4 linked regions of the Lonchura striata genome follow. The protein of the gene in region 3 interacts with the protein of the main gene of each other region in a biochemical or structural test. Links are inferred from orthologs where the notes say so. Each region holds a gene or a part of one and is shown on either strand. Other genes may lie near its edges.

What was found.
Region 1: the proteins of SNTA1 (region 3) and MAP4 interact in a test that uses a peptide from one of them, tested with the Homo sapiens proteins (2 studies listed by BioGRID and IntAct). The link is inferred for Lonchura striata from reciprocal best matches to the Homo sapiens genes SNTA1 and MAP4.
Region 2: the proteins of SNTA1 (region 3) and FRMPD4 interact in a test that uses a peptide from one of them, tested with the Homo sapiens proteins (2 studies listed by IntAct, with this or other methods). The link is inferred for Lonchura striata from reciprocal best matches to the Homo sapiens genes SNTA1 and FRMPD4.
Region 4: the proteins of SNTA1 (region 3) and KCNA4 interact in a test that uses a peptide from one of them, tested with the Homo sapiens proteins (2 studies listed by BioGRID and IntAct). The link is inferred for Lonchura striata from reciprocal best matches to the Homo sapiens genes SNTA1 and KCNA4.

The regions. Positions count from the first base shown.
Region 1 is NC_134603.1:156,288,248-156,296,151, reverse strand, and holds the start of MAP4 (microtubule-associated protein 4), read right to left. Parts: upstream 3,012-7,904; 5' UTR 2,880-3,011; intron 1-2,879. UniProt on the Homo sapiens protein: Non-neuronal microtubule-associated protein. Promotes microtubule assembly.
Region 2 is NC_134604.1:98,557,546-98,564,557, forward strand, and holds the start of FRMPD4 (FERM and PDZ domain-containing protein 4), read left to right. Parts: upstream 1-3,997; 5' UTR 3,998-4,128; coding exon 4,129-4,217; intron 4,218-7,012. UniProt on the Homo sapiens protein: Positive regulator of dendritic spine morphogenesis and density. Required for the maintenance of excitatory synaptic transmission. Binds phosphatidylinositol 4,5-bisphosphate.
Region 3 is NC_134619.1:12,417,894-12,425,716, reverse strand, and holds the start of SNTA1 (alpha-1-syntrophin), read left to right. Parts: upstream 1-4,809; 5' UTR 4,810-4,846; coding exon 4,847-5,111; intron 5,112-7,371; coding exon 7,372-7,557; intron 7,558-7,823. UniProt on the Homo sapiens protein: Adapter protein that binds to and probably organizes the subcellular localization of a variety of membrane proteins. May link various receptors to the actin cytoskeleton and the extracellular matrix via the dystrophin glycoprotein complex.
Region 4 is NC_134608.1:61,417,489-61,424,733, reverse strand, and holds the start of KCNA4 (potassium voltage-gated channel subfamily A member 4), read right to left. Parts: upstream 3,010-7,245; 5' UTR 2,308-3,009; intron 1,494-2,307; 5' UTR 716-1,493; coding exon 1-715. UniProt on the Homo sapiens protein: Voltage-gated potassium channel that mediates transmembrane potassium transport in excitable membranes. Forms tetrameric potassium-selective channels through which potassium ions pass in accordance with their electrochemical gradient.

The sequences.
Region 1 (7,904 bases), on a different chromosome or scaffold from region 3:
CCAGTGGCTTCCCTGAGTCATAAGTTTGGTGTAGGTCAGAATTTGGAAGCTTGCACATCAAGACAGTGCAGAGACAAATGCAGTCCAGGAACTGAGTGGAGGAGACATCACCGGCTCAGCAAACAGGTGAGTTTAAGCCTGAGGTACACAAGAGCAAGAACATGCAATGGGTGTAAACCAGATCTGAACCCTGTAAGGACTCAGAGCTGACTGAATGGCTCAGATTCATTTATTTCTAGGGAAGACAAGCAACCACTAAAACACTACAGGAGTTGGGACCTCAAATATAATTACAGCCCCATTGGCTGAAATTACAGCTGTGTCAGCCCTTTTACCAGCAGGAATACGTAATTCATCTGCTTCAACTGAGCACTCCTCAGACTGCACATAACAAGCTTAAAGCTGGAAATCCAGTCCTTCCCCAGCCTCCACTCAGCCTCACCTTCTGCCCCTCCAAAACCCCAATTTGCTTCTGTTCTCACTGCTGCTCGGGCTGCTGGAGGCGTGGGGGTATTTGATAACATCACAGAACAGTCTGGGCAATCTCTGCTATTTAAAACCTTGACTTAAAACTGCCTGGTGTACCTGGGAGGGAACAGACACTGAACTGAACCCAAATAGTTCAGAATTAGTACTGCCACCTGTAAATGACACTTACCAGAGTAAGGCCAGGTTGGCTCCAGTAGTGTCTGCAAGCCCCTGGTGTGATTATTCACCCAAACAGGGCTGCACTCAGCACTTACCACAGCACTCACAAGCTTCAAAGCTCCCCACAGACAAATCAGGCAGCTTGCTAAAGCAGATCTCCAGGTCTGCTGCCAGGGTGAGGTGCTGCAGCTGGCAGAGAGGAGCCCTGGTGTCCCACGGTGTCCCCACTGCCTGGCATCAGTGGGCAGCACAGGACAGCGCCTGGCACAGCCCTGCCTTTGGAGGAGCAAGCTGATAAAGTCAGGATCTGCTGCCATAAGAGTCCTCCAGCAGCCTCCCCGTTTGCTCCTTAAGGACAGGAGTGACATAATCCTCTCCTAATATCAGCTGAGGGCTCGGGGGGAACCAGGGTGACCCACAAACTGTACCCATGGCAACACCGGGCTCTAGCTGAACTCCCAGGCTGGCATCTCCAAACCACTGACACTTCTTTGTATTATCTGATCTTTCCCTGATGTCATTTCTGCAGAGACACACAAAAACAGATTTAATAATATCCACGGCCTTCAGCTTCAGAGTCAACAATCACAGTCACAAACAGATCAGCTATTCTGCCTTCAAGCTTATTATTTGTCACTAACATGTAATTATTACCAAACAAAACAAAAGACACAGGATATTGCTGCTGTTGCAACAGCAAGTAAGTTAAGCTCTTTTTCAAACTGAAAAAGCCTATCTCTTCTGATGCAAGCAGGCACAAAAGAATAAAAAAGTTTAAAATTTAAAGAGCCCATGAATCCCACAAAATGCATCTGGAAGGATAATCAGAAATTTCCTTGCTTCTCACAAAAAAAACCCAAACAAAACCACAAAAAGTCAATTTGACAGACAGGTCTGTCCAGCCAATGTCATAACTGTATTGTCAATAATTTTGAGTTACAATTTTTCTTTCACAAATAAAAGGAGTTAAGCTGCAATAGCACCTTATAGATACAATACCAGCAAAACATACCAGATGGGACATCAGGCCCTGGCAAGGAGAAAAGAAGCTTTAGAGTTGTAAAACTCCAGTGCAGTCCTGTCCGTTGAGTTTACAAAATGAAGCTGCAGCAGCATCACACGCTGAGCAGGAGGAGGCCCCGAGCAAGGCTTGTTACTGCACACTGAAACACTGAGCAGGGCTTGGACGCCTATTGTATTATTCAAGAAGCCTTCCAGCTTGAATTGTAAACTGGGAAGAACATGGTTCACTGAATGGATGAGTCCAGCTTTAAAAACAAATAAAAACTTTTTTAAAAGCTCTAAAATCAATGGGCTAATCTACTAAATCCATACAGAAATCAGGAGAAGGAAATACGAGAGGGAACGACCGAGTAGGAGAGATCAAGAACCACCTAAAGAAAAGAGACCTAAACATCCAAATTCAGCATGTTCACAGAGCTTTTAACACACCCCTCGTAGAGAAGGAGCGCGTACAACACTCATACTACCAGGATACACTCCGAAGCGGCTTTTGGCAGCAGAACAGCATCAAAACTTCACCGCCTCGAGCTTGAACTTATTACCAGCAGCCCCGCACCGCGAGCACGGGTTTAATTGCCGTCCCTCGCAGCCCAGCTCCGCAGAGAAGCTTGCTCATCCCGAAAGCGGGCCCGCTCGGCCGCGATGACTGCGCACAGGCCTGGCCGGAGCCCGGCGCATCCCCGGCCCGCCACACCCAGCGCTGCGAGCCGCGCTCTGCCCATGCTCATCCTCAGCCGCGGCCCGCCGCCCTCCTTATAAAGCCGGCAGCGGAGCCGCGGCGCCGGGCAAGGACGGGGCACGGAAAGTTCCCCGCCGTCCCGAGGAGAACTGCGGAACCGCCGCGCCGCCGTTGAGCGAAACCCCCGCGGGAGCCGAAGGGACCCCGCGGGAGCAAGGCCGGGGAACGCCCGGGACCCCCCCTCCACCCCGGCCGACCCCCGGACCCGGCCCGGCCGCCTCCCCCGGGCAACAAAGCCGCGCCCCGGCAGCGCCCGCTCGCTCCGCCCGCTCCCCCGGGAGATGCTCGGGGATGCTGCGGGCGCTCCCTGCGCGGCTCCCGCGCCCCGCAGCCCCTGCCGCCTCCCGGCCCGGCCGCGGGCACCGGCGAGGCCGGAGCCCCCGCCCGGGCCGCGTCGGGGAGCGCCGCAGCCGCAGCGCGCTGTCCCCGCGCCCCGTGCCCGGCCGCAGCCCCCTCCCCGCGGCCTTACCGAGCGGCGGGGGCGCGGGGCAGCGCCGGGACGGAGGCGCCGGGACGGAGGCGCCTGGCGAGCGTCGCTGTCCCCTGCGGGCCCGGCGGGAGGAGGAGCGGGGAGCGGAGCCGCGCTGGCCGCGCGCCGAGCGCACTACCCTGCTGGCTGAGGGGGCGGGGCCCGCGCCGCCCGGCCAATCAGCGCCGCGCCGCGCCCGGCAGCGGCCAATCAGCGCCAGCGCGGGCGGCGCGCGGCCGCGCGGGGCGGAGGCGGCGCCGCGGTGAACGGGCAGCGCGGTTGGGCGCGGCGCGGGGCGGGGACGGGGGCGGGGCCAGAGCGGGGGGCGGGGCCAAGGGCGGCGATGGAGGGCGGGGACGCGGCTGAGGGGACAGGGGAGCTGAGGGGGTCAGAGGAGCTGAGGGGGACAGGGGCGCTGAGGGGGACAGGGGAGCTGAGGGGACAGGGGAGCTGAGGGGGACAGGGGCGCTGAGGGGGACAGGGGAGCTGAGGGGGACAGGAGCTGAGGAGACAGGAGTTGAGGGGACAGGGGAGCTGAGGGGGACAGGGGAGCTGAGGGGACAGGGGAGCTGAGGGGGACAGGGGCGCTGAGGGGGACAGGGGAGCTGAGGGGACAGGGGAGCTGAGGGGACAGAGGTGCTGAGGGGACAGGGGAGCTGAGGGGACAGGGGAGCTGAGGGGACAGAGGAGCTGAGGGGACAGGGGAGCTGAGGGGACAGGGGCGCTGAGGGGACAGAGGTGCTGAGGGGACAGGGGAGCTGAGGGGGACAGAGGAGCTGAGGGGACAGAGGCGATGAGGGGACAGAGGTGCTGAGGGGACAGGGGAGCTGAGGGGACAGAGGCGATGAGGGGACAGGGGAGCTGAGGAGACAGGAGTTGAGGGGACAGGGGAGCTGAGGGGACAGAGGAGCTGAGGAGACAGGAGCTGAGGGGATAGAGGAACTGAGGAGACGGGAGCTGAGGGGACAGGGGAGCTGAGGAGACAGAGGAGCTGAGGGGACAGGGGAGCTGAGGGGAGCAGGCTGGAGGGACAAGGCTGAGGGCGTGAAGGCGATCCCATGGGAAGCATGCTGTGGGGCAGGAAAGGGAGATATTTAAAGAGGGAGAAGAAGCCCTGGGAGCGTGCGCACGCCTGGGCGGCACAGCACTCGTGGCTGTGAAGGAGCCGAAGGAGCCTGGTGACAAAGCAGGGCCCAGGGACAGATGGAGCGCCCAGCCGCCCCTCCAGGTGGCCGAACAGCGGGGACCACTCGTGCTGCTGCTCATAATCCTCCACGGCCCTTCTGGCCCAGAAAGGCAGCCCTCTGTGCATGCAGGAGGGCAGGAGGAGAGCAGGAGGATAAAGGGATGACGTGTAGCCAGCAGGACGGTGAGGGATGAAGGGATGTGTTTTTACAGTCACAGAATCGCAGACTGGCTTGGGTTGGAACTGACCTTAAGGATCATCTGGTGCCAGCCTCTGCCATGGGCAGGGACACTTCCACTGTCCCAGGTGCTCCAAGCCCCATCCAGCCTGGCCTGGGATCCAGGGCCAGCCACAGCTGCTCTGGGCACGTGTGCCAGGGCCTGCCCACCCTCCCAGGGAGGAATTTCCTCTTAATAAAAATCTAAATGTACCTTCCTTCAGCTAAAGGCATTCTCTGTGTCCTGTCCCTCCCTGCCTTGTCCCCAGTGCCTCTCCAGCTCTCCTGGAGCCCCTCCAGGCCCTGGAACTCCCGACCCTGAGTGTCCCTCTTGTCACTGCTCTGCACTCGGACACCGAGCCAGCGACCAGCTGAGTGTCCATCAGCCCCTTCCTCACCCACCGAGTGCTCCACCCGGGAAATCCCTGTCTCCCCAGTCTGGGGACAAGGATGGAGTGTGGGACAGTGTCCAACACTTTACGCAAGTCCAGGTGGGTGACACGGCTCACTGTTCCCTCATCCACCAGCACTGTCTCCTCCGTTGTCTGCCCTCAGTGAAACCATTTCCCGTGGCTGAGGTGACACTGGGTTGATGCAGTGACAGCAGCCACGGAGGGTTGATGTTCCATGGGAGGAACATCCAGCCTCGTTCTTCAGGGATAAACCATTCCAGCGTGTTTTGGGAGTTAACCCGGGCAGCAGGCAGGGAGGGACACCGGCCCATCGTTGACAGCTAGGCTCCTGCATGTCCCCGAGGGCTCTGTGTCACCCATCTGCCCAGAGGGAGCTGCAGAGCTACTAAATCATGAAAATACATGACACACTGGCTTGCCAGATAAGCAAATCAAAGCACGGTGACTAAAACTGAAATAGGTGTGTCTCATGTCTGGTCACTGGAGGGAGGAAACGCCCTTGGCATGAGGTGTGGGAGGGGGCACACCCCATCCAGGCAGGGTTAAGCTGCACCCTCTGCCCACCTCTCTCCAGCCTCCCAATCCTGGGTACCTTTCCAGGGCTGGAGCCGGTAAGGGGAAATCCCATGTCCTGATGACAGGCAGATCCATAACAACTGCTTGTACCATGTGCTATTTTTAAGCTCCAAATAAAATAGCATCCTGATGGCTCTCTTTAGGAGGGTTGGGCAGAGGTTTGAATTTCAGAGCTGTCCCAGCCTACCCTGATCACCGGACCCTTAAAGATCCCTCCCTCTCTTTCCTTAGGAAATCCACCTCTCTTCCCCTCTGGAGCCTTTCTGCTGCCTGTCTCCTAGAGCAGGACAGTACCTCCTGTGTCTGTGGAACAGACTAAGTAACTCAACAAAAAACAGGGGTTAAATTACAATAATACAACAAAAAATACACATCAGTGTGTGTCTGACCACTGCGCTGACTGCTTTTGGCTTCAAAAAGAGATTCTGGGTTGTTCCTTCTAAATTCTGAGCTTAGAATTTATTCCCCAAAAGAAAACCCTGAGAGCCCAAAGCCAGGCCTTCACTGCTCAGTGATCACACAGGAGCAAACCTTTGGTGGATTAAGGACATGGTGTGCCCAGGCTTTGGGATTTCCTTCCATGGAACCAAGGAAATCAGAATAACAGGGAGGGAAGGAGGGAAGGAGGGAAGGAGGGAAGGAAGGAAGGAAGGAAGGAAGGAAGGAAGGAAGGAAGGAAGGAAGGAAGGAAGGAAGGAAGGAAGGAAGGAAGGAAGGAAGGAAGGAAGGAAGGAAGGAAGGAAGGAAGGAAGGAAGGAAGGAAGGAAGGAAGGAAGGAAGGAAGGAATCCAAGCTTAGCACAGCTTCTCAGGGCACTGTTTAATATGAAACTCCCTTGGTTTAGTTTAAAATCTGACATCTATTCTTTGCTTCCTGGGAGCAACCTCAGGCCACACTCCATTTGTTGCCTCCCCACATACTTCACCTGTGCAAAAATTCAAAGCATCTCCTTTATCTTTGTCCCGCTAAAGAAAGTAACCTATTTTCTTTCCACTTGCTTTTCCAGACTCCGAGTCCCCTCCATCTCCATGTGGCCTGGAAGGGAGGGCAGCAGGAACCAATGTCCTCGGTGTAAGGCAGACAAGATCTGTGAGACGCCGCAGGTGTGTCTGTCCTTGTCCCGGCAGAGGGAGGGATTTTGTTTGGTGAGGTTGATGGCAGGAGAGAAGGTTCTTAGGCAATGGCTCTGCCCTTTCATCAGGTCAGACAGGGAAGGTGGCTGTGAAAAGGGAAAGGACCCAGCTCATCTCCCTAAGGAGTCACTCCTGGCCAGCCCCATTAGGCCAGCAGGGCAGGTAGGGCAGCCAGCACCGGGGCTGGTCTCAGCGTGGGCCTGACCCGTGCTGGGTGAGTCCCCTCTGGGCACTGGGAGAGCTGGAAAGGGAAAGCTCGGTCTGGGGAAAGCTCCTTTGTCACCACTTTGATGGGAGCCGGTGCAAATGAAGGACGCTGGGTGACACAGCCCATCCCAGGGCACTGACAGCACAAGTGTTGGAGATAAGCAGTAATGAACCGGGCAGCTTTCCTGCCCTTTGGCAAGAGCTCGTCATTCCCTGCTCAAAGCAGGGATGTGGGTGCCCACAGGGGCAGCGGTCTGCCCGGGCTCTGGGGTCTGTCTGAGCTCCAGGGTCTGTCCTGGTTCTGGGGTCTGTCCTGGGCTCTGGAGTCTGTCCAGGTTCTGGGGTCTGTCTGAGCTCCAGGGTCTGTCCTGGGCTCTGGGGTCTGTCTGAGCTCCGGGGTCTGTCTGAGCTCCAGGGTCTGTCCTGGTTCTGGGGTCTGTCCAGGCTGTGGGGTCTGTCCAGGTTCTGGGGTCTGCCCGAGCTCCGGGGTCTGTCTGAGCTCCAGGGTCTGTCCTGGTTCCGGGGTCTGTCTGAGCTCCAGGGTCTGTTGAGGCTCCAGGGAAGCAGCGCTGCCAGGGCTGAGCTGTCACTCCTCGCATCCCTCACTCATCCTGGACAGAGCCCGTGCAGGGGTCACATCCAAAAAGGAGTGGCCAGCAGTGCAGTCAGTAAGTAATGAACATTAACTGTATCAAGGAGAAAAACTCATGAAGCAGATCTCGAAAGGGTTTGAGTGGAATTGCCTCCACGCTTGGAGCAGCACCCACAGACTCTCATGGTCAGGAAATTTCTGCTCATTCACTTTTGAATGTCTGTAAACAGCTTGGAGAATTTGAATACTCTTACAAAACAGATGCCTCATCACTCCCCTATCACGGATCAGGGATGCAAGGAGAAGGTAACTACTCAACGAGGCAGGACGCTGCTCTGGAGACAACAGAAGCATTGTGGGTCACTGGCAGACGTTTGCCAGCCAGACAGGGCTGTTCTGCTCATCAAAGCTGACTCCAGCACAATGGAAGGCATGGAATTTTGGCCAGGGATCCCAGCCATCCCAGAGACCTGTCAAGGCTCTCTGACTGGTCATGGGATTTGCCTTGCAGCTGGCACACCCCGTGATCTCCTGATCTGGGATCTCTCTGTCAGCTCTAACCTGGTGTGGGGCTACAGAGGAGGAGGAGGAGGAGGAGGAAGGTGGCTGGGGGCTGCACTGAGGCTGGGGCAGTGAATTCCATTGCCAAGAGTTCTGTGGTGCCAGAAAACACAGCTCCTGCTGCTGTCCTGCACCACGGG
Region 2 (7,012 bases), on a different chromosome or scaffold from region 3:
CTCTGCAACGTGGGCATCTTGCTTACAAGAGCTGCTAAGGTGCAGTGAAGAGTCTCCATTTAAGATTCTCAGTGACAGATTCTGTCATAAACTAATCTTAATTATATTTATGTTTACCTGTTTCCTCTGTAACTTAACTGCATTATGAAAAGGTTCCTTATTTTTCTGTTAGTAGCAAGCTATCCAGTAATAGCAGACTTGCACGTGGCACTGATGAGTAAGTATCATTTAGGTAAACTAAATATATTTAGAGACACCTTTCATAGTTGTTAGCATGCTATATTTAGAGAGCAAGAGCTGAGTGATGGATTTAGGTAGGGAGGTGTAGGAGAATATGGCTAGAAATTTAAGTGAGGAGTCATCTGTAGCAGTAGCTAAGAAGGGCCTTCAGTGATGATAATGCATGTAAAATCCTTCAGAGAACATTCTCCCTGCTCTTCTCATGGTCAGGGGAGAGAAAATGGCTCTTCCAAAAGGGAGTTCACTGCCCAAGAGAGATACTAGTTTCTGCATCCCATTCCTTGGAAGAGTCACTTTTTCTGTGTCAGCAATAGATCGGGCTAGAGGGGACAAGCGTCACTAAGCCAAAGATTGCTTTTCTGAATACCTCCCACAGGCTCTCTGAGGGCAATGTTCAAGTGAAATATGTATGGAGCATTTTGGATTTCTAAGAGCTGTCTGCTGTCTTTGGGCTTGCTTGGACTTCAGAAGAGATAGGAAACAATGCAGTGGAAATGTGCATATATGAGACCAAGTGGGAAAAATCATGGCATAAAAATTTTTATTCCTTCTTTCTGAGGCTGTCTGTAACATCCTTTTCCATATTGCCAATATGTCTGAGTGTTTGACAGCATTGAAAACCTGGGTTATTTAAAAAACAATCCTTAAGGAGTTTAAAATTCATTGTCTATTTAAAAAGCACAGTCATAGGGAAGGAAAGGAAGGGGAGTGGTGAATGTATGTGGATCCTGGAAGCAGGGCTGCAGAAAGGGCAAATCTGTGTCAGGCTTCTGAAGAGGAACCTTGGCTGATGTGAGTCGTGGTTGGTTTAGAGGGCATTTGCTAAGAGAAATGGTATAGCAAGGGGTGGTGGTACATTTAACTGGGCTGGATCATGGCTTCAGGATGACTTTGTTCCCTCTGTTTTCACATAAACTTTTAGTAGTTCTTAACTTTGCTTGTGATCATTGGTTGCCTCTTCAGTAAAACAGGTGCATCTTTGTTGCCCTCTTAGTTCAGATAAATAAGTTTCCATAGTTTTCTATGGAAAACTATAGTCTGAGACCAGATAACTTCACACTTATGTGTGTTCACATTTCCCCAACAGTTGGAGTCAGCAGTGGCAAGTGTAATTGGGTAATATTTTTGTATAAATTGATTTGGTTTTCAGTTTCAAGGAGGTTCCAAAACAATGAAGCCCTTCAGAATAGCACTGGATTTCATAAGGATATAACATCTCTGCCATCTGTTCTTTAGTGATAACTGATATCTTGTGAAACATTTTTATGACACAGCTATTGTTTTCTTTTTATTTTATAATTTTGTTTTATTTTCTTCAGTTACAGAGCACTGAGCATATTCTTGAAACTAGTCTGTGCCTTACGAGTGTGTCCTGTCTGATGGTACATCAGAATCAGAAATGCAAAAGGTTTCTATCCAGTGCCTGCTTTTTCTCAAAAGATAGGAGCAGCTGCTTGAGCAGTGGACCTCTTAGCCAAAAGTCAAATATCAACCCCTTAAGCACTGTTTGACAGGGATTTGGCAGCTACAGCCATCCTGAAGGGTAAGTAGAGGACAAGAAAGGTGAGAAACGTTGCCCCCTGGTCCCCAGGGTCATGAAGAGCTAGGTGTGTAGGCAAAAATGAGACTCCTGGTTCCTGAGGGGAGAACAGACTGTGATCTGTTCTCTACACATTGGGATGTGCTTCCTGTGCTGCTAGAACTGAGAGCATCCATATTTGAAGGGGGAAAAGAAAAAACATCCCAAATACTGTTAAAAGGAAAAAGTAGGTGTATATAGTAGATAGCCCTGTACCTCTTGATCTTTCAGCATAGCTAGAGATTTTATTCCCTTGCTTCATGCATCATGCCTGGAGCTAATGGCCATGTGTTGTTGAAGTTAAGATTTCTGTGAAATGGCTCTTGCTACCACAGTGGTGCTGTCACTAAGGAGCTGCTCTGACATCTGGCCTGTCCTTTTAATTCCCAGTTTGCTGGATGTGCAGGGTGTGACCTGAACAGGCTTGTTACTGAATGTCTCCTGGATGGAGATGGTCTTTGATGCAAACAGTTGTGCTACCTTGCAGCTGAGGCAGTTGGGTGGCCATGGGAAGAGTAAAATGAGATAAGAGTACAGATGAGATAATCTGCTTATTTAATAATTTCTCAGCAGAAATTTGAAAACTAGAAAGCAGCAACTAGCTGATGACCTGGATGCTTAGGAAAGGGAAATATTATAGTCTAAAAGTCCAAATATACTGATGGACCAAATGGCCTTCTTGCTGTAAAAAGAAAAAAAAAAAAAAAGAGAGAAAACAAAGAAAAAAGTAAAATAAAATTTTGATAATGCTGATAGATGTTACATGTATATGTATGAGGAAAATATCCTTAGAAGAATTTATGTTCTTCATCATTCCAGTCCAAGGAGCTGTTCATTTTCTCCAGCCTTCATAGCAGCAGTAGTATTTCAGTGTTTCTGATGTATTTTTCTTCCATCACATGCTATCCAGTGCCAGATTTACAACCTATGCCAATGTAAGTGACTAGGTACTGTTTCTTCCCACTTCCTCCCAAAATGTATATCCTAAATTTGCCTTCTGGAAAACCTTGGTGCTACAACTAAATATGTTGAAACAATAGATATGAAATAGATAGTGAGGGGACCACTTAGCTCACCAGTTTATTTGGGGTTTATGCTCTGTATTGTTTCCCAGCTGAAGCAGGCAGATATTTAGTGTGTTCCACATTCAGGTGTGCAAATAGAGCAAATAGTTCCTTCAGCAAGAGGAGGAAACCGGGTTTGGGTATAATCTGGTTTACCTGGTGGATGTAGTTGGGTTGTTTTTTTTTTTTCTTTGTCAAAAAACACATTAACAACTTAAACAAGAGGTGTCTGGAAATAGCTATATGTGTGCTCCATAGTAAATTGTAGCGTTTCATCAATTGAATGTAATTGGTAAGCTGTTATTTGAGAGAAACAGACACAGAGGTTTCTCCTTAGCAAATCAGCATTTTGCATGCACAGCATTTCCTTCAAAGATCAGTTTTTTCAACTACCATCCATTTCAAAACACATCATAACAATACAATTCACCAGGGTAAGTCTTTGTTATATGAGGAAACAAAAATAAAAATGTGCCTTAGTTTACTTTGTGGGAATTTCTGTGGTCAGAAATGAGAGTAGGAACCAGCAGTCTCTTTGGGAGTTGTGAGCTCAGGCATTCGATCAGTTGGAAAAGATACTCACAGATGTTAAACCTTCAGGCATCCATGCACTCCATTTGTAACTTCTCTATTAATGAATTTGTGATGATTATACAATTTCAATTTGCCAGAAGAAAAAAAATGGGCTACAATTCCTAAGACGCTATTGTGTTATTCTGGTGTCTTTCACTAAAATGAAAAGCCCTGCATCAAAATGCAGGGTTGTCAGAGGTCTTTCGAGAGTAGATGTGCAACAAGGAAAATATAGAATGAGAGATTAAATGACAAGTGTAGTTTCTTGAAGGAGCTCAATTTCCTTTTCTGAAGAGAAATTTTCTTCAGGATTTGAAATACTATTGCAGCATAGCTACTTGGCAGCTTGGCTTGTTCGTGTGTTATGAGAATGATGCTAATAATTCCTACTGACTGCTGTGACCTCTGCTGGAGGGAAAAGAGTCCATTTCCTTGTAGCCCTTTCTCTCAAAGCCTGATAACATATTCTTAATTTATTTATTTACTACCTGTTTGTTCCCTGCAGCAAATTTCCCTGCCTGCCAGGTGGCTGAGGTAATTTACATTGTCATTTAATTCTTGTCATAGATGTAGTTCAAAAACAAATATCTGATGAAATTTTTAACCTAACACGGCTTCGGTTCTACGGGTGTATGCTTTGTATTCTTTGTGGGGCTTAATTTAACTTTGCCTATGAATGTCTGCCTTAATGTTTACATCCACAGCTACATTTCTGTATTTGTACAACACGCCTTGCTCCGAGCGTTCAGAGATGTCAATGTGTAAGTCTGGATTGCATCACCTTTCTGAGTGCATACCCTGAATCTGCAGTCAGATCTACTCAGTTTGAAGGCTGCTGTTGCAGTTCTGCCTCCATTTAGTTGGAAACTACTGACAGTGGAATCATTTCAGAATAACAGATCTTTGGCTTCAGACTGTGAGGATAGCCACTAATTATGTATTTCTCATTCTTCGGTACTGCAAACATTGGTTTACATTTTGACTTTATGCTCCAGTTCACTAATTAGATTCCTCTTTAAGAAGATGCATGTTTAGTATCATTGTTTTGGAAACATTAAGAGGTTTGGGGTTTTTGTTTGTAGGGTGGAGAGTTTTTTGAGGAGTTTGTTTGTGATTTTGTTGTTGTTTTGCTTGGTTTTTTTTTTTTTTTTTTTTTTTTTTAACATGGAGGACTTTTTGCTGTATCTAAAGCAGGCCTGTCACTGGCTTCAGATCAAGAACTGTCCTTTGCTGTGTTGGCTCTGCCCCAGAGGGGTTGTAGTGTGGAACAGCAGTGAGCACACCTGTGCCTTGTTTTTGCAGGGACTCCAAGCAGTACATTGCAGCCCTGTTGTGTCAAACAGCCAAAACTTTTTGAGCTCTGACCCAAAAAGCATGACTCAGAGTTCTGCTTGCTAGCTCTCAGCAGCCTAGGAGGAGCTTACTAGAGACACACGTAGGGCCACGTGGTGTTTGTTCTCAGCACATTTGTGGGCAGTGTTGTTGTGGTTTGGTTGTAAAAGCAGCCCCCTCAGATGGGGAAACAGGTCAGCAGAGTGCCAGGTTTTGGGTGCGAGTGGGAGGCTTTCAGGGAGGAGTGTGAGATGGAGTTAGCTGCAGCCTTGGAATCTCTGCCTGCTCCTTTCTTCTGGTGAAATGGTGTCTTTCTGTGCCAGCTTAGCTGCCTGTGGTGAGACATGCAGACAAACCAGGTGTTGGAGCCACAGCTGTGACACTGGCAGAAGATGAAAATAGCTGGGAGGGACAAGCCACAGGATTCATGTGATGCCTTAGGTTCTTGTGTGTGGGAGGGAGGGAGCTCAGGGTTCCTGTTTCTGTCATGTCTCTAGGGGCTGGAGAGGCAACAAAAGTTGATGTAGAATGAAGCTTGAGTAGAAGAATCCTAAAGAGGAAAGTTCTGGGAAAAGGGAAGGCTTCTGCAGGACATAAAGTAATTTGGGAGGAATAACAAATGAAAAAGTCTAGATAACCATAGTTTTTTTTCCCTTCAACTTAGCCTGTGTTCTAGCAAACAGCACAGAAGAATCAAAACCCTCAGTATTTCAGAAGGTCAAAATCTAAATTAATGTACTGGGCAAAACCAAAATGGTTCCATTAATGGTGCTGAAAGTATGATCGTCTCTTGCTGGTTGGATTGTTTAAAGGTCTTAATATACCTTTGCTGTTTAGAGGGGCTGTGTTGGCATCTCCATCTTCTCTTGCTCCTTGACAGGCAGATTTTACCAAGCTTACTTCTTCATGTCCAAGGCTTTGACGCTTAGTGAGGGAAGCACTTAAACTCTTGGAGATTATCATTACCATAGTGTGGCACATGGAGAGGAATTTACAAACCTAGAGTCTGTGGTTCTCATCTTTATTGATAGACAAGAATTGATTATAAAAGAACTTCTATGCTATTGAAATTAAAGTTATAAAAGCAAATTCCAGAAGTGGAAACAAATATAACAGTTAAAAAAATAATATATTTTGAAAAAGCCCAAACTTTAGAATCAGTTCTGGGTTTTTTTTTACTTTTTCTATAAAATCTTTATCCTTATTCAAGGGAGCAGTGGAATTTGAACATAGTGATATTTACATAGTAAAGTGTCAAGTTATTTCCTTTTCCTGTAAGATTGATATAATTGATATTTCTATTATCAGGGGAAAAAAGTCTAGCTGCCTGCTTGACATCTCATCATCTCCTTTAAAAATCTTCTAAAGACCTTGTGACAAAAGGCAGTCTTAAGAATCCTAGCAACCACTTATGGATGATAAGATTTATTCTATTGTGAACTTAAGTAGAATAGAAGAAATACAATGGTTGTTGAAATAGGAATGGTGATGTTTAATATATACATCACCTCTACTGCTTTTTTGGGGAGTGGCACTCTTCCTGTAACCAGTCTCCAGCTGCCTCATACTGAGGCAGCACTCTTTGTGTAAAGTATTTAGTTATTCCTTTGTATTCACATGAGTACTTCTCCTTATGTGGAAATCTGAAATACCACTGAGTGGAGGAGTCCTTACAGCATCCATAGGGACAGGTTGTGATTGCATTTCTATGGCTGGTGAAAACCTGAAATGGTGGTGGATGCAGAAGAGTTTGGATCACCTGTACTTAGGGTAATACTAAAATATCTAGATGGCAGCCAGTGTGAGTTTTGTAGTGCCAGCAGTGCAACTTTAAAGCACCTTTAAAGACCAAAGGGTTTGGTTTTTTAAATTATTGTTTGCAGTATTTTCTCTTGGTGTGTTGTGACATTACAGACCCAGGTATGCAATCCTTAGGACTCCAGTGCTGCCCACTTTTCTCCAAATTACATCTCTGTGGGAGTAATCCAAGAAAGATAGAAGGAGGACTTTCTTCTTGATGGAAAAGGACTGAGTTTCTGCATAATCACTGCAATATTCCTTTGTTTGAGTTGTAGTTTGAAGAAATACTTTCACAGGTCCTGTCTCACAAAAAACAATCATGGTTATCTTGACTTCCAAAACTGCTTGTGTACTTCCAGAATGAAGGGATAACATTTCTCATGTTTAGTTGTAGAGTTTGCATCTCTTGATTTGTGTGGGGATT
Region 3 (7,823 bases):
AGTGATTCTAAAGTCAGGTACTTTAGAATCACACTTTTTTGCTGTGTTTTCTGCATAGTGACGGATGAATCCATCTGTTAAGTACATATTGCATATCTAAATCTGTTAATATCTAGCCTAAAATCTATCTAGATAATAAAAGCTATTTCCCTTCCGTCCCTTGCAGTGTTTCATGAGTCTCAGTCCTGCAGGGTAGGGTTGGTATCATCCCCTTCCATGAATTCTCAGGAACACTGAGCACAGCAGCCCTTCCCTGGTGCTGAAGGCTAAGGATTGTGAGCAGCCTGAGATGCTGCCTGGATCCCCACAGCTTGGGAATGTTGTCCCAGGGACTGAACGTGAGCTCTTCAACTCTTTTCTTCAGAAGGGATTAATTCAATTAACACAAATAACAAACCAGCTCACAGCACTCTATAAATAGACTGGTGGGCTTTGACACAGCTCCTGGCTATGCCAAGAAATGGGACTAATAATAGCTGCTTAACTGTGGGGTTCAGGGGGCTGGAGAGAATTGGCAGAGACAATGCCAGGATGGCTTAAACCTGCCATGAAAATCAGCTGGGCAAATGTGGAATCCCAGCATTGTCTGAGTTGGAAGGTACCTTAAATCTCATCCCATCCCACCCTCTGCCATGGCAGGGACATCTTCCACTGTCCCAGGCTGCTCCAAGCCTCACCCAGTCTGTCCCTGGACACTGCCAGGGATCCAGGGGCAGCCACAGCTGCTCTGGGCACCTGTGCCAGGGCCTCTGCACTCTCTGCAGTATCCCAACAGCCATGAAGGAAATTCTGCTGGAGGGGATGGTTCAGGGTGGGGGGCACAGAGCCCTTCACTGCCACACTGCCAGATCCTTCTCCTGGGGACTGTTTGGAGGATAATGGAGTCAAGAGATGTTTTTTCTAGCTAAAAAGCAGCAATTTCCCTCAGGGCTGAGGTCAGGGCCCTGGCAGCACCCCCAGTCCTGCACCTCAACCTCCTGCACTCCCCAGCCCCTTCCCCTCCCACTGCTCCTGCTGCCAGGAGAAATTCCCAGCTGGGCTTTTGTCACCGACGCACGCGTGTTTCTGCGGGAAGTTTCTATTTCTGTGAATAGCAATTTTTCAAGCAATTCCTCCCCCGCCTGCTCGCTTTCACAGGAGCCCTGACGAACGCCACTGGCATTCCTGGAAGCTGCAGCTCACTCCTGCATGCCAGCCCTGGCCAGAGACTTCTCCCTGTCATCCCAGCCTCTGTCCTACAGCTCCACGGCATGGGAATTATGCTCATGGTATCTTGTGAGGGTCAAATCGAGCTGGGACCACTCTGTGTGCTGGGTTCCCAGTGCTCACCGTGTGCCCTGAGACAGGAAAGGGCTAAAAAGAAGTGAGGAAGCCTGAAGGAGCCCCTAAAAAGAAGTGGGGAAGCCTGGAGGAGCCAAGCCTGTGGAAAACCCCAGAACATCAACATCTCTGCTTAGGGGGCACAGAGACCTCCAAGAACATCCTGGCATGTCCACTTTCTCAGGCCACAGCTCTTGCCAGGCCTAGGTGTGCAGAGGAGACAGCAAGTGATTGATTCCTGTCTTTGATTAAACCTTGAGCCAAGCCCCCCAGTGCTGGAGCCAAGCCCCCAGTACTTCACCAGTCTGTCAGCCCTATTTGATGGACCCCCTGCTCAGGGTGAACCTCCCAGTTTGGGACTGGGGTCTTAAGGGCACTTTGAATTCCTTGTTTCCATTAGAAGACACCACCTGCAGTACTCGCCTGGGGTGTCTATCCCACATAAGTTGACATAGGAATATTAATTGCTGTGTCATAGGAATATTAATTGCTGTATCACAGGAATATTAATTACTGAAGCAGGGGGTCCCACAGCCAGGCAGAAGTGGTGGCTGGGGGATGTGCTCTCTGCTGGGGTCACTGAGCAGTGGCCTCGCTGCACTCACAGGGTGAGGCTGTTTCCCCAAAGGAGGTGAAGTCAGAGTGCTGTGACCTGGATTCAAGGACCATGGTGCTTTCTCCATCCCAGCAGCAGCACAGGGAAAGGCACTGGAACCATCTGGATGGCTTCCATGCATCCAGGCCATGCTTATCAGCATCCCTGCCTCGGGGCACAGAGTTGAGAAATGAAAGGGAACAACCCAAATGGTGCTGTTCTGCTGCACTGAGAGCTGTTCAGAGATCCCACTGCTGGCTCAGATGGGAATGGGCCCTTAGAGGATGGAATTATCAAAAGCAGCTCTTGGGAATGAAAAAAAAGCTGGACAAACTGCTGATTGCAGCTGCCTGACTGGAAAATAAAGTGAGTGCTCCCAAGGCATGTAGCTCAGGGGGAATGAGCTCTGTGTCCACTTGAGGACCGAAAGACCAAAGTCCCCTTGCTGTTCCCAAAGAGAGAGGCACTGGACAGGGGATGGGATCAGAGGGGAATATCCTTGGGGTGATGTAGAAGTGCTTGCCACAGTGAGCATCACCATACTGCAAAGGCAAAGTGTCACTTAAACCCCGAACATTTTAGTGAAAAGAAAATCAGGAATATGTAAAGCATCTGTTTTGTAAAGAAATAACCTTCAGGGTTTTCTCTGCTGCAACCTCAAGAAATTCCACAGCTGCTACTGCGTGGGAGGGAGCCCAGGGAGCATTTTTCTCCTCTGTGTGAGGCTGATGCTCAGGGCTGGCTGCAGCCCCTGGCTGGGAAGGGCTGTGCTGAGCAGCACATGCTGCAGCCCCCCTGCCTCAGGTGCCCAGAGCTTCTCTCCACCCACTTCTCAGCCAGCCATAAATGTTACAGAATTCTTACAAATCCTTGTGCTTTCCAGAGGGGCTGAGACCTCAGTAGTCCTGTCCCAGAGGCTCCTGGCACTGCTTGAAACACTCTGCAAGGGGCAGAGGGGATGTGCCAAGAGTGATTTGCTACTCCTGGAGGTATTTTCTAGTCCTAATTAATACAGTAAGAATGAGTGTCTGCCAAGGATGTAAAAATACTCGCGTTTTCAAGATCCAGGGCAAGTAAGGAAAAAGCAATGCAGACTTGTCTGAATGTCTGCAGACACCATGTCCCCCTGCCCAGCTCCTGTTTAACACCCATTGGGACTCTAGGGAAGTTCCTGCCCTGGCTGTGGCCGCTGGGATGAGCCACAGCTCTGTGCCCAGCTCCCACTGCTCCTCCTGTGACAGCCCAGCGCAGGGACACCCAAAATGTCCAGTGTGGGGGCAAGTTTTGGGATGAGCAGCTGGGAGCCTGTGTCCCTTCCCATGCCAGTCCCAGGATGGAGTGGGAAGTGCCAGGTCCTCCTGGTGCCCTGTGTCAGGCCAGAACAAGGAGCACTGGGGAGCACTGGGGAGCACTGGGGAGCTGTATCCCTGCTGGTGCCCCATCCCAGGATGGTGAGGGGAGAACCAGGCTCTTCCAGAGTCCCATCCCAGGATGGACCAGTGGGGCCCTGGTGTCCTGGCCTCTCCCCATGCTCCATCCAGGCCAGAGTCGTGTCTTTCTGGTCTCCCCATCCCAGGCTGGAATGGGAAGAGCTAAGGAGCACTGGGCCCTCCAGGTGTCTGTCCTAGGATACAATGGGGAGCCCTGTGTCCATCCCAGGATGGAGAGGAGAGCTGTGTCCCTCGTGGGCAGGCATGGGGAGCCCTGGGGAGCGCCGTGTCCCTCTGGTGCCCCTCCATCCGGGCTGGAGAAGGCAGTGCTGGGGAGCACTGGGAACATCGTGTCCTCCCGGTGCCTATCCCAGATGGAGCGGGGAGCGCCGGGGAGTTGTGCTCTTCCCTGTGCCCCATTCCATGATGGGGAGCACCGCGGAGCTGTGTCTGTTCCTGGTGCCCCGTCCCGGGTTGGTGCGGGGAGCACTGGGGAGCATCCCGGTGCCCCGTCCCGGGAGGGAATGGGACGGAGCCGCGGTCCCGGTCTCTCCCAGGGCTGTGTCCCGGTCCTGCGGGGCGGTGTGTGGCGGGAGGGGACAGGGCACGGAGCGGTGCGGGGCGCTGAGGGGCGGTGCGGAGAGACTGTGCAGGGTGTGGAGAAGCGGTGCGGGATAGGAGGTGAGGGGCGGTGCGGGCGATGTGGGACGGGGGATAAGCGGTGCGCGGGGCGCTGAGGGGCGGCGTGGAGCGGTGCGGGGCGGTGAGGGACGGGCGGTGAGGATCAGGCGGTGCGGGACGGGCGGTGCAGGGCGGTGCGCAGGGCGGTGAGGGGCGGTGTGGGACGAGCGATGCGCGGGGTGTTGAGGGGCGGTGCGGGACGGTGTGGGACGAGCGGTGTGGGACGAGCGGTGCGGGACGAGCGGTGCCGTGTGAGGGGCGGTGTGAGGGGCGGTGTGGGACGGGCGGTGCGGTGTGAGGGGCGGCGCGGGGCGGTGTGGGACGGGCGGTGCGGTGCGGTGTGAGGGGCGGTGTGGGACGGGCGGTGCGGAGCGGTGTGAGGGGCGGTGTGGGAAGGCGCGGGGTAGTGTGAGGGGCGGCGCGGGGCGGTGTGAGGGGCGGTGTGGGACGGGCGGTGCGGTGTGAGGGGCGGCGCGGGGCGGTGTGAGGGGCGGTGTGGGACGGGCGGTGCGGTGTGAGGGGCGGCGCGGGGCGGTGTGAGGGGCGGTGTGGGACGGGCGGTGCGGAGCGGTGTGAGGGGCGGTGTGGGACGGGCGGTGTGGTGCGGTGTGAGGGGCGGTGTGAGGGGCGATGTGGGACGGGCGGTGCGGTGTGTGGGGCGGTGTGGGACGGGCGGTGCGGAGCGGTGTGAGGGGCGGCGCGGGGCGGTGCGAGGGGCGGTGTGGGACGGGCAGTGCGGTGCTGTGTGAGGGGCGGCGCGGGGCGGGCGGTGCGGTGTGAGGGGCGGCGCGGGGCGGTGTGGGACGCGGAGCGCGCGAAGATGGCGGCGGGCAGGCGCGCCCCGCGCACCGGGCTGCTGGAGCTGCGCGGCCCCAGCGGGCAGTGGCTCCGCGTCCTGCTCACCCTGGCCGAGGACGTGCTGGGGGTCAGCCCCGCAGACGGCCCCGGGCCCGGCCCCGAGGCCCCGGCGGCGCAGCTGAACGGCGGCGAGCCGGGCTCCGCCGCTCCCGAGGCGCTCGCCAACATCAGGCGCACCGTGCGCGTCGTCAAGCAGGACGTGGGGGGGCTCGGCATCAGCATAAAAGGTGAGGCCGGGCCCGGGGGTCCCGGGGCGGCGTGGGGAGAGGGCATCGGCAGCGGGACCTGTTGCTGCTGCGGTCCCGCGGCTCGCTCGGAGCGAGCCCCGCGGGGAGCGGGGCTGGGGTCGGGGTCCTCACCGTCCCCAGCCCCAGCTTAGCACGGGGAGGGGATACGTGGCAGTGACGGCACCGAACCATTCCCAGCCTACGGAAAGAGCGATGATTTGGGGTGCGGAGTGACCGGCCAGTGCCTGCCCGCCGTGCCCGACCGGGGTGAGGGACCCCAGGGTTTGTGAGCCGGTGGGAGACCCGCTGTCCCCTTCACCCACGGGTGGGGTGCTGGGGGCACCGGGTTACGCGAAAGTTTCTCTTTTGCAGCCAAAAGGAGGGCTGGGCCGGCGTGTCCTTGTCCTACCGTGTTCCTGAGTTGGGAAATGCCCCTTTAAAGCTGTCAGCAAAACGAAGGGAGGGATGTAAAGCCCCGGGAGATCTGCCGGCGCTGGGTGGGGTGTTAAACCAGCGCGCTCGAGTTTGGAGATGTGCTCCCGGGAAGCCTTTCTGTTTTATGTCTGTTTTCCCTCCCGAGCTGTTCCGCTCCTTGGTGACTCGCCTGAACTTCAGGCTGGAAACTTCTTAGGGCAGTGCCGTTCCTGCCTTTCTGCCTGCCTTTGATTTTCACGGGGCTCCGAGCGTGTTGGAAACTGTGAAAGCAGGATGAAAAGGGCAGCGCGGAGACAGGGACAGGGCTGTCACGGAGCGTGGCTGTGAGAGGCAGCGGGCCGCCCCGGGGCAGTGACAGGACAGCTCTCCCCTCCTGACGTGGCTTCTCCTCCCAGCTCAGAGGGGGCACAGACGCAGCCTCCGGCTCCCTCTGGTAGTGGGGAGGTTTTGCAATGTGAATGTGCGGCTGCTGGAACTGGATCGACACTGCTGGCCGTGTCTGCAGGGTGCCCCAGCGTGCCAGCCCTTTTTTTGGGAAGCACAAACCCCCTTTCGTAACCACCCCATGGCTGCCAAGTTATTGCTTGCTCTGTGGCTCCTCCAGGAAAGGAGAAACTTCCCTTGGTTCAGTTAAAACTTTACTTTTGCAGTGACGTATGTGGAAAAGATGTAGTTGCCATCAAAAATGGGTAGTGGAAGGAGTTGTGGAGGGCGGGGCAGCCTTGGTAGGGCAGGACAATCTCCTCACCGAGCTGCTGGCATGTCGCTGTTCATGTGCCAGCCGTGCTTCATGCAGGGACACTGGGTGCCACCTGGGGTTGAATGTCCTGCCGCAGGACGTGGCTTGGGGCTGTCAGGACAGCGGGGAGCCGAGCGAGAGCCGGGCTGGCGGAGGCTCTTAGCTCTGGCAGGGCTCTCGGCACTGGCAGCCGGGCGAGGAGCCGCTGGCGCAAGGACGGAGCAGCCCCCGCCGGGGCCTCTGACAGCTGATAACCGGAGCCCTCACTGGCTTGGCAGGCGGCTGAGCGAGGAAATGCCTGTGGCACCGGCTGGGAGCAGCCCGGGGCGGGCAGTGACAGCGGGCTGCGCTCAGCATCTCCCTCTGGGATGAGGATTATCTCTTGGAGACTCCTCGGGACAGGCTGTCCCGGGGCGCGGGGCACATCGGGCACTGCTGATCCCCGGCTGCCACGGGCAATGGCTGCTGCATCCCTGTGCCCTGGCACGGAGGCGGCTCGGATCTCCCTGCGGGTTCAAAAGTCGATGTGCAAATTGATCTCCTGAAGCCGCCGGGAGTTTGAATAACATTCTTTTAGTCAGGACAGTGGGGAGCACCCGGCAAATAGGGCTGCTGTGTGGACAGGAACATGCAGCCAGATTGGTTTACCTCTCCCTGCCTCTTTGGCCTCTCCAAAAACATTCAGCTGTGTTATCTGTTGAGATCATAAAGTCCTTAGAGCCAGGATAGTTGCTCAGCATACATGATTAATAATGCAAATAACGATACACTTTCCTGCCAAAACTGATGGGGAGATGGCCAGGTTATGTGTTCACTCTGTGAATAATCCGTGACCAATCTGAGCGGTTTTGGAGCAATCACTTCATCAGCTGTAAAGCCTCATGGTACTTTGGCTGCTGTGGTTGGTACAGGTGTCCTGTGGGTATCTGGGGGAGTGGGCAGTGGGCTGACCTGGCACGGTGCTTTGAGTGCCAGCAGAAAGGCTCAGCCTTGCTGAGACCATCTGGTACCACAGCATCCCTCTCCCCACACACTCCTCCAAGCGCTCCTACAGCCACAACCGCTCCCTGTCTCTTCTGTTTCAAGGTGGCCGAGAGAATAAAATGCCCATCTTGATCTCCAAGATCTTTAAGGGGCTGGCAGCAGACCAGACCGAGGCGCTGTACGTGGGGGATGCCATCCTCGCCGTCAATGGCACCGACCTGTCCGAGGCCACCCACGATGAGGCCGTGCAGGCCTTGAAGAAGACGGGCAAGGAAGTGATCTTGGAAGGTAGGAGACAAAGATGTGATGAGGGCAGAATGGTTCTCCTTCTTGTACTGGGATGACACAGGGGTGGCATATCATCTGCAGCTGCATTTGCATACTCTTTCAAATGGAAAGCAACATATGCAGAGTAATTTGTCTGCTCATCCGGAGAGCTGGAGGTAACTGCTGGGATCTCCCTGGATCTCCCTGTCTCCTTACGGAGAGGGAGGGATGTCTGTGCCAGTACTCCATGCCCAGAGGCTCTGTCTCCCCACTGTGGGACCTCAGGC
Region 4 (7,245 bases), on a different chromosome or scaffold from region 3:
TCCTGTCGAAGAAGTACTCGTTCCTGAGAGGATCGAAGTACCTTCCCCGCTTGGCCGGATCCCCCAGCAGCGTCTCCGGGAACTGAGCTAACGTCTTCAGCTGGGTCTCGAACCGCAGGCCCGACACGTTGATCACCACGCGCTCACAACACTCGTACTCGCTGTAGCGGACGGAGCTGTAACCCCCGGGGCCTCCACCGTCATCGGGTGGCTGGTCCGAGTATGAAAACTCATCCTCCCCATAGTCATCACTGTAGTAGAGCTTCCCTTCCTCCTCGTCATCTTCATCCTCATCTACATCCTCCTCTTCCTCCTCGCTCAAGTCCTTCAGTATCCTCTCCTCAGAGCCGCTGAGCGGCAGCAGCTCGGAGCAGGGGAAGGAGGCGCCACACTCCCTGCTCCCCAAGCGGTGGCTCCTCTTCTTGCCCTTCTTCCTCCTACCGCTCTGGCGGCAGGGCAGGCCACTGCGCGAGGCGCTCCCGCCGTGCGAGGAGGAGGCCCCGCGGGCCTGCTCCTGGTGGTAGTGGTGGTAGGGTCCCCCTCCGCCCGCCGCCCCACCTTCCACCGCCGCCGTGGCTGCCGCCACAGCCGCCGCCGCCGCCGCCCTGGACTGCGCCAGCCGCTCCCGCTCCCGGGCCCGTGCCTGGGCCGCGTATCCGTAGGGCATGTGGGTGCTGCAGCCGGAGCTGTCCGCGCTCACCATGGCGACCTCCATCCTGCAGCTGCTTGGTTTTGTTCGTAACCGCTGGCCGTAACAGGGTTTTGCGTTATTTACAGCACCACCGCGACCTTCGCTGGGAAGTTCAAAGCCATTTGCGTTTGGAGGACAGTCTGCTGCGCATCAAGTGTGGCAACGTGGTCACAACACTGAATCTGTACTTTGGAAAACCACACATCCGCATTTTCCTCTTCTCCAGAACGTCTGACACAAGCTACTGCTTCGCTAATGAGAAAAGATGAAATTCTCAGATCGGACCAGAGAACAGCTGAGACCTTGTTCTTCCATCCACCAAGGCCCTTTATTTTCATTTATCTCCTGCAGCCATCACAGCTGTATCTGATCAGAATCACGACTGCCTCGCAGGCTATAAAGGCTGCATTCCTCAGGAAAAGAATATGCAAACCAAAGGGTACCTGTTCTCCGCAGACAGTTTTAGCTCATCATTAAAACTAAATGCAAATAGACTCTTTGCTCATTATTTGTTCCTGGTAATGCTTTGGCCTAGCAAACGTATTGTTTAATGTCCTTACTTGGAGAGTTGAAGTTAATTCCAGCCATCACTTCATTTACACAGTGAGGAGGTCTTTACAAATCCATTCTTCAGCCTGTCAACAATGTCTCAAACCTGGGAGCAGCACCCAGGGCATCAGCAGCAGTGGTAAGAGGAGGAGGAGGAGATGAAGACTGAGAAACTGGCTCTGAGGTCCCCATGGGACACAGGGGAGTGGATGGGTCACCCTTTGGTTATGGTCATGCAGAAGAAGCACTTAACCTGAGGCACATGCACAAACACACAAAAATAAACAAAACAAAAAGGGAAAAGATTGGATTGTTTTCCTAAAAGGTCAACCGATCAAATGAAACTGTGTCATCTATTACCATGGCATTCAAATCTTCTCCTGCCCACACTATTCACACTTCTACATTACACACACACCCACATCACATGCACAGAGATTTTGAACGACTCTGTGGGTAAGGATGTGGGTGGGTATGTCACATATATATAGAGACAGATACAAAATCCCCACCCATACAAGCACTTGCATCCATACACAAACATATGCATGCTTCTGAAACACCAACACATATAAACACTAATAAAAATACTGCAACGCACAATGCATTCAGGTCTTTGAGCACATACGTAAGAGATACACCTCCATGTATCCATACGAAACGTTAAAGAATAAATGTATCTTGACAAAGAGCTTTTGTTGTATTTGCAGAAACGCATCAGATGCGGGAATGTTACATTTTAATCCACAGCAGAATTGTGTTTCGGTCACAATGAACATCTCACTGGATTTAATTTGGAAACGGGCACGTACAATGCTTAGCCAAGTGAAAATACCCTGATATGTCAAGAAAACAACTGCAGGTGCACTGAAGCAACGTCTACATGCAAGCACACACACAAAAATACCCACAGCCCCTCACACCCCCCTTTGAAACAGAAGCCTCATTTATAGCCACATCTATTAATACACCAGAGAAGGTGAACGCGAACTATTAAACGACGCTATTTTTCAAATCGTACCTACATGTCATGCAGAAGAAAAGCCTAAAAACACCGTTATACTTACCGATCCTAGGCAGAGAAATAGCAGCGCTGCTCCCGCTGGTGTAAGGAGCGGGGGACAGCAGCGCGGAGGGGCTGTGCCGGCTGCTCCACGCTCGCAGGTGGCTGTGGTCAGTGCGCACCACAGGTTGGCGGGTTATTCCTGCCCCTTCCAGCCGGCTGCCGGGGCAGCGAGCCGGGGAGGCGGCCGGGGCTGGGGGCACCGCGCACCGCCACAGCCGCTCGCCTCGGCATCGGCCACAAGGCAAGGAGCGAGGGTCTCGTCCCCACGGGGAAAACGAAGGCGGTGTGCGTGTGCTTGGCGTGTGCGAGGCGGAGCAGGCGCGACCGCCGGTCCCGGCGAGCCCGGCTCGGGCGGCAGCTCCGTAAATCAGCGCTGGCTAAATCCGTGCGCGGAGCCGGGCTCCGGCGGACGCAGGACGGGGCCGGCTCCGTGCGGCGCCTGCCCCCGGCACGTCCGGGGCTCAGCCGGCTGCCGCCCGCTCCATCCACTTGTTGGCTGCTCCCACTCGGGGCGACGCGGCCGGGGAGCCGCCGGCCGGAGCGCGGGCGGGCGCTGCTGGCGGCCGAGGGTGCCGGGAGATGATGGGAGCCGGGAGCGGATGGGAGCCGGGAGAAGATGGGAGCCGGCGGATGATGGGAGCCGGGAGCTGGGCCAGTCCGCGGCACCGCGCCCCCGGCGCTCCGAGCCGGCCCTGTTGCTCCGGAGCCGCCGCCCGCCGCTGCCGCCGCTCCCGGCCCGCCGCCGGCCCCTGCCGGCCGCCGCCCGCACTGCGCCGGCTCGGCTCGGCACGGCACGGCTCGGCTCGGCACGGCTCCTGCCCCCGCGCCCTGTTAACGCCGCCGTTACCGGAGTCGATAGCTGTCCGCCCCGAGCGATGCTGCCAGCACCGGCCTCTGCTGCTCTGGGCGCGCCCCGAAGGAAGCGAAACGCTTTGTTGAGGTCGCTCGGAGAATTCCAAAGCCAAGCCCGGATCAAATTTGGCACGAGGAGAGAAGATGTGCCCGCACCTGCACGGCGCTGCCTCGCTCGGCCCCGAGCCGAGCAAACATTCCTTCTGCTCCTGCAGCCCTGTCGCAAATGAAGCCAAGTCAACTTTCACTCCTAGTTCTGTGCCTGAACAGAAAGCAGGTCCTACCTAGTTCATGGCTAGAGGGTACCGTTTTGTGTTTGGGAGTTAACACCTCAAATCCTGCAACAAATTCCCTCTCCCCGCTGCAGCACGAGCAGGGTATAGACTGCCTGTTCCTTTTGCACCTGGAAAACTGAAGCTGTGGCACATTCCACTCCCTGTAAGGGATGGCCATGGAAATACAGCTTGGCTATATTTGACCCTCCACCTCCAATTCTACCACCTCAGTACAAACTGCAAGCACTCCCCTCATGGAGAAAAAGACTGAATCGAGAAGCAATCAAAGGCAGCGCCAACACCAGACACTTTGCCACAAAGGGTTTGCAACTGGAGACAAATCCAACATGTGCAGCAAATAGGTTGGGCATTTCTCTCATGACCTAGCTCCTCCTCCATAGAGCAACCAAGAGAGCCCAGTGGCTATTTCCCTTTAGATCCCCAGCAGCACAACCCACATTATCCATGTACTTCTGCTGCCTACATCAGTTATTGCCCATACCTTTCATCCCACTCATGTCAGTGGATGACCTATGACTATTTAGGGGAGCATAGGGGATCAGCCAAATCAACATATTGCCTGCCAGGCACCAAGTCGTGCCAACAGTGCCGTGAAACACATAAATAGCACCTAGAGCTAACTGTTTTTTTTTAACATTCACAATACTTCAGGTTCCATAGTCAATATAATAAATCACTAATGTCATCCCAAACACCATTAAAATACTGTCTCCTGTCAGCACAAAAGCAACCCAAAATCTGGGTTCAAAAACAGTTAAAAACATCTATAAATTAATTTCTAATACCAAACCTCAGATTCTTCTGTAACCTGGCACAGGGGCATACCAAAGTCATGGATCAAACCCCTACCATCACTTCAACACAAGGACATGTATGAAGCCATAAAAATACCAGTTATCATAGGTAAACTTATGGAATCATTAGGATCACCTAGACTCACTCCTTCATCAGTAAAGTTTAATTCTGGGGCATTTTCCGGAGCTCAGTCATTTCGACCCTAACAAATCTTTTGTTGCCCTTTATCTGTAGAATTTGAACACCCTTTTATTTCTTTTTTGAGATGTTTCAAGGACTTGGGATAAAAGATAATGACTTATTTACCTTCTACTTCTCTTTCAAAATCTCAGATGCATGGTCTTACGTTATCTTGTGACTGTTAAAATGAAATTTTCAGTGGACATCTGAGTGAAAAAGACAAGTAGAAACAGACCAATCACTTTGGTATTCCTTTTTGAGCACTGTTATTTTGTTTTTATTAGCTAAAGCATGTTCTCGGGCAAAGATAAACAAACTGTGGTGTAGGATTCTATGCACACGTGATACACACATAACTGACAATGGGAGAAGCAGAAGGCTTTTTTGTGCTTTTTAAAATCCATTCTAATGTAATAGGGATCACGTAACCACATGCATTTCAATCTAGCTCAGAGATCTAACTTGATCCAATTTTTAACTAATTTAAAAGCAAAAAACAAGCTTTAAGTATATGCAGATAAATACTTTGACTCATTTCATTCAGCTTTCTATTTTCATAGTACTCAGAGAACAGTTTTTATTTGAGAGCTATTACATTTCCTCTGCTCCTTCACATTGATAAGGGATAATATCATTATCCCTTATTAGAACAAAGAGAGAATATCTGCACATCACTATCTTTGATAGAGATGTTGTATCATAGTAAAGAATCTCTAAGATCTCTGTCACACAGGTTTGTCCTGTTTTACTGTGATGCAGGTGAGAAATATGCACCACTGGTTAGCTATGAAAAAATGCACAACGACGTAATACATTTCCATGCAAAGGGAACATGAGATTTACAAAGTTCTTTTATGTTCCTATGCCCAATATTAATTTATGCTGAAATTCACACTGGCAGGGTCTGTCCTCAGTCCAGCCCTCACCTCCCTGCTGTAATCTCTGCAGTGAATAAGACTGAACTACAGTACTACTGCACTTCCAGACCATGAATAATTCTACTTTCCTTTTAGCCTTCTCTTTTTGCTCTTCTGCTCTTCCCTAGGCTTGCTTCACTGTTATTTCTATTCCCCTCCAAGGCAACACATCCAAGGTCCTGTAAGATTGGGGGCTCCTTTCAAAACAAGCAAAACCTTGCAGCAGTGGGAGCTCAGGATTATCAGGTGAAAAGACTGGTCACTACAGCATTTCAGATGTGCTGAGACATGATTCAGAACTTGCATTTCCCTCTCCTCTCAGCTGTTTAGTGCTGGAGACCCTTAGGTACCAAAGTATAGCAGTGAATTCTTGCCTCCACAAATAAGTTTTGTCTCCCAGCGGTTGTTGAATTGAACTTCAGGAAGTTCATATTTTATTCATATTTTACTAACTAGGCTCTGTAAGACTCTCCTGTCAAAGAATCTGGCTCAAGTACTCTTCTTTTGAATATGACTGGCAGTGTTTAATGAGACACTTGGCAGACTAAAATGCAGCCTATCCTCAGTCTAGTTCTTCCACACAACCTGTATGAAAAGCACATCTGTTCATTCCTTGTGCTTCAGCAGGATAATCCAAGGAAGTTGATGCTCCAGAGAACAGCAGCCCTTTCATATTTTCTCAGGGAAAGTTTGCAAAACCATGGCCATTTACCACTGAGTTTAGGATGAACAGCAGTAAAAACTGATGATATTTTTACTGGGAGAATGATTTCCTGTACCAGAGCTTGGATTTACTCAGAAAACAGGATAAAAATACCACGTATGTTCTATTTTTGGACTTGGATATTTCTCCATTCATTCTGAGCAAACAGGGACTCATATCAAGTCTATTCTGAAAAACGACAATAGTGAAAAATTTAAAAAAAAAAAAAGAGTAGTCTGGAGAGAAAGCTGCTAAATGAGAAACCAGATTTCCAAGATACCCACAGCCACATCAATCATAATGCTGACATCCTTTTTCTATCCAGTATAACAAGGGTTATTTATCACCTCTCTTTTTTTCTCTCCTAATAATTTGATTTTAGCTGAAATGGGAGAACCTGGATCATTCACTGCGCCTTCTTTTAGATATGCCTAGTAGTAGTGAAAAGGGTGGATCTGCAGTCTGGAAACTGTTATTTTAATTAAATCATGAAGGAGATGAATTAGCCTCACAGAATTACTTAAATTACCATATCATTGGATTTGCTCTATTTCTGCATTTAAGAATAAATGTATTATTCTGAATACCCAATTTTCCAACTATGCTGACAGAAAACGTAATGATTATAAAACCTGGAAATATCAGATGCTGTTAAAAATCCCTGTTTGCATATATTTTTGTCCAGATCAAAAAGCATTACGAGGGCATAGTAGACTTATTTCTCCCTGGGATTTTATAAGGAATATTCTGCAGAAAAAGCAGACAGTAGGATAATAATTAATGTAAATTTGCCTTATGATGCTAACCGTGACTTGAGGAACAACTGGAAAGAAACATGTGTATGACAAGAGCTCAAAACTATTCCTGTTAAAATATATAATAATTGTTAGCTGGAACTTCTGGCATCTCATGCTCCAAGAACATGCAGCAGCAAACTGTTATGTGAAGAAGCACATAAAGAGAGAAAATTTAGATGTTAAGTATGACATTAAATGTAGCTCCCATATATATTTATAAGCAAAAAAAGGATATTTCTATGAAGTTCTAGAAGATAGATGATGGTAAATTTCTAATAAATATGTTTTATGATTTCTATTTAAGAAAAGGAAGACATGGATGAGGGAACTGTAGGATCAGACTGCAAGTCAAAATACACCATTGTAGTTGTAGCAGTCCAAACCATACTAGAAAGCTCT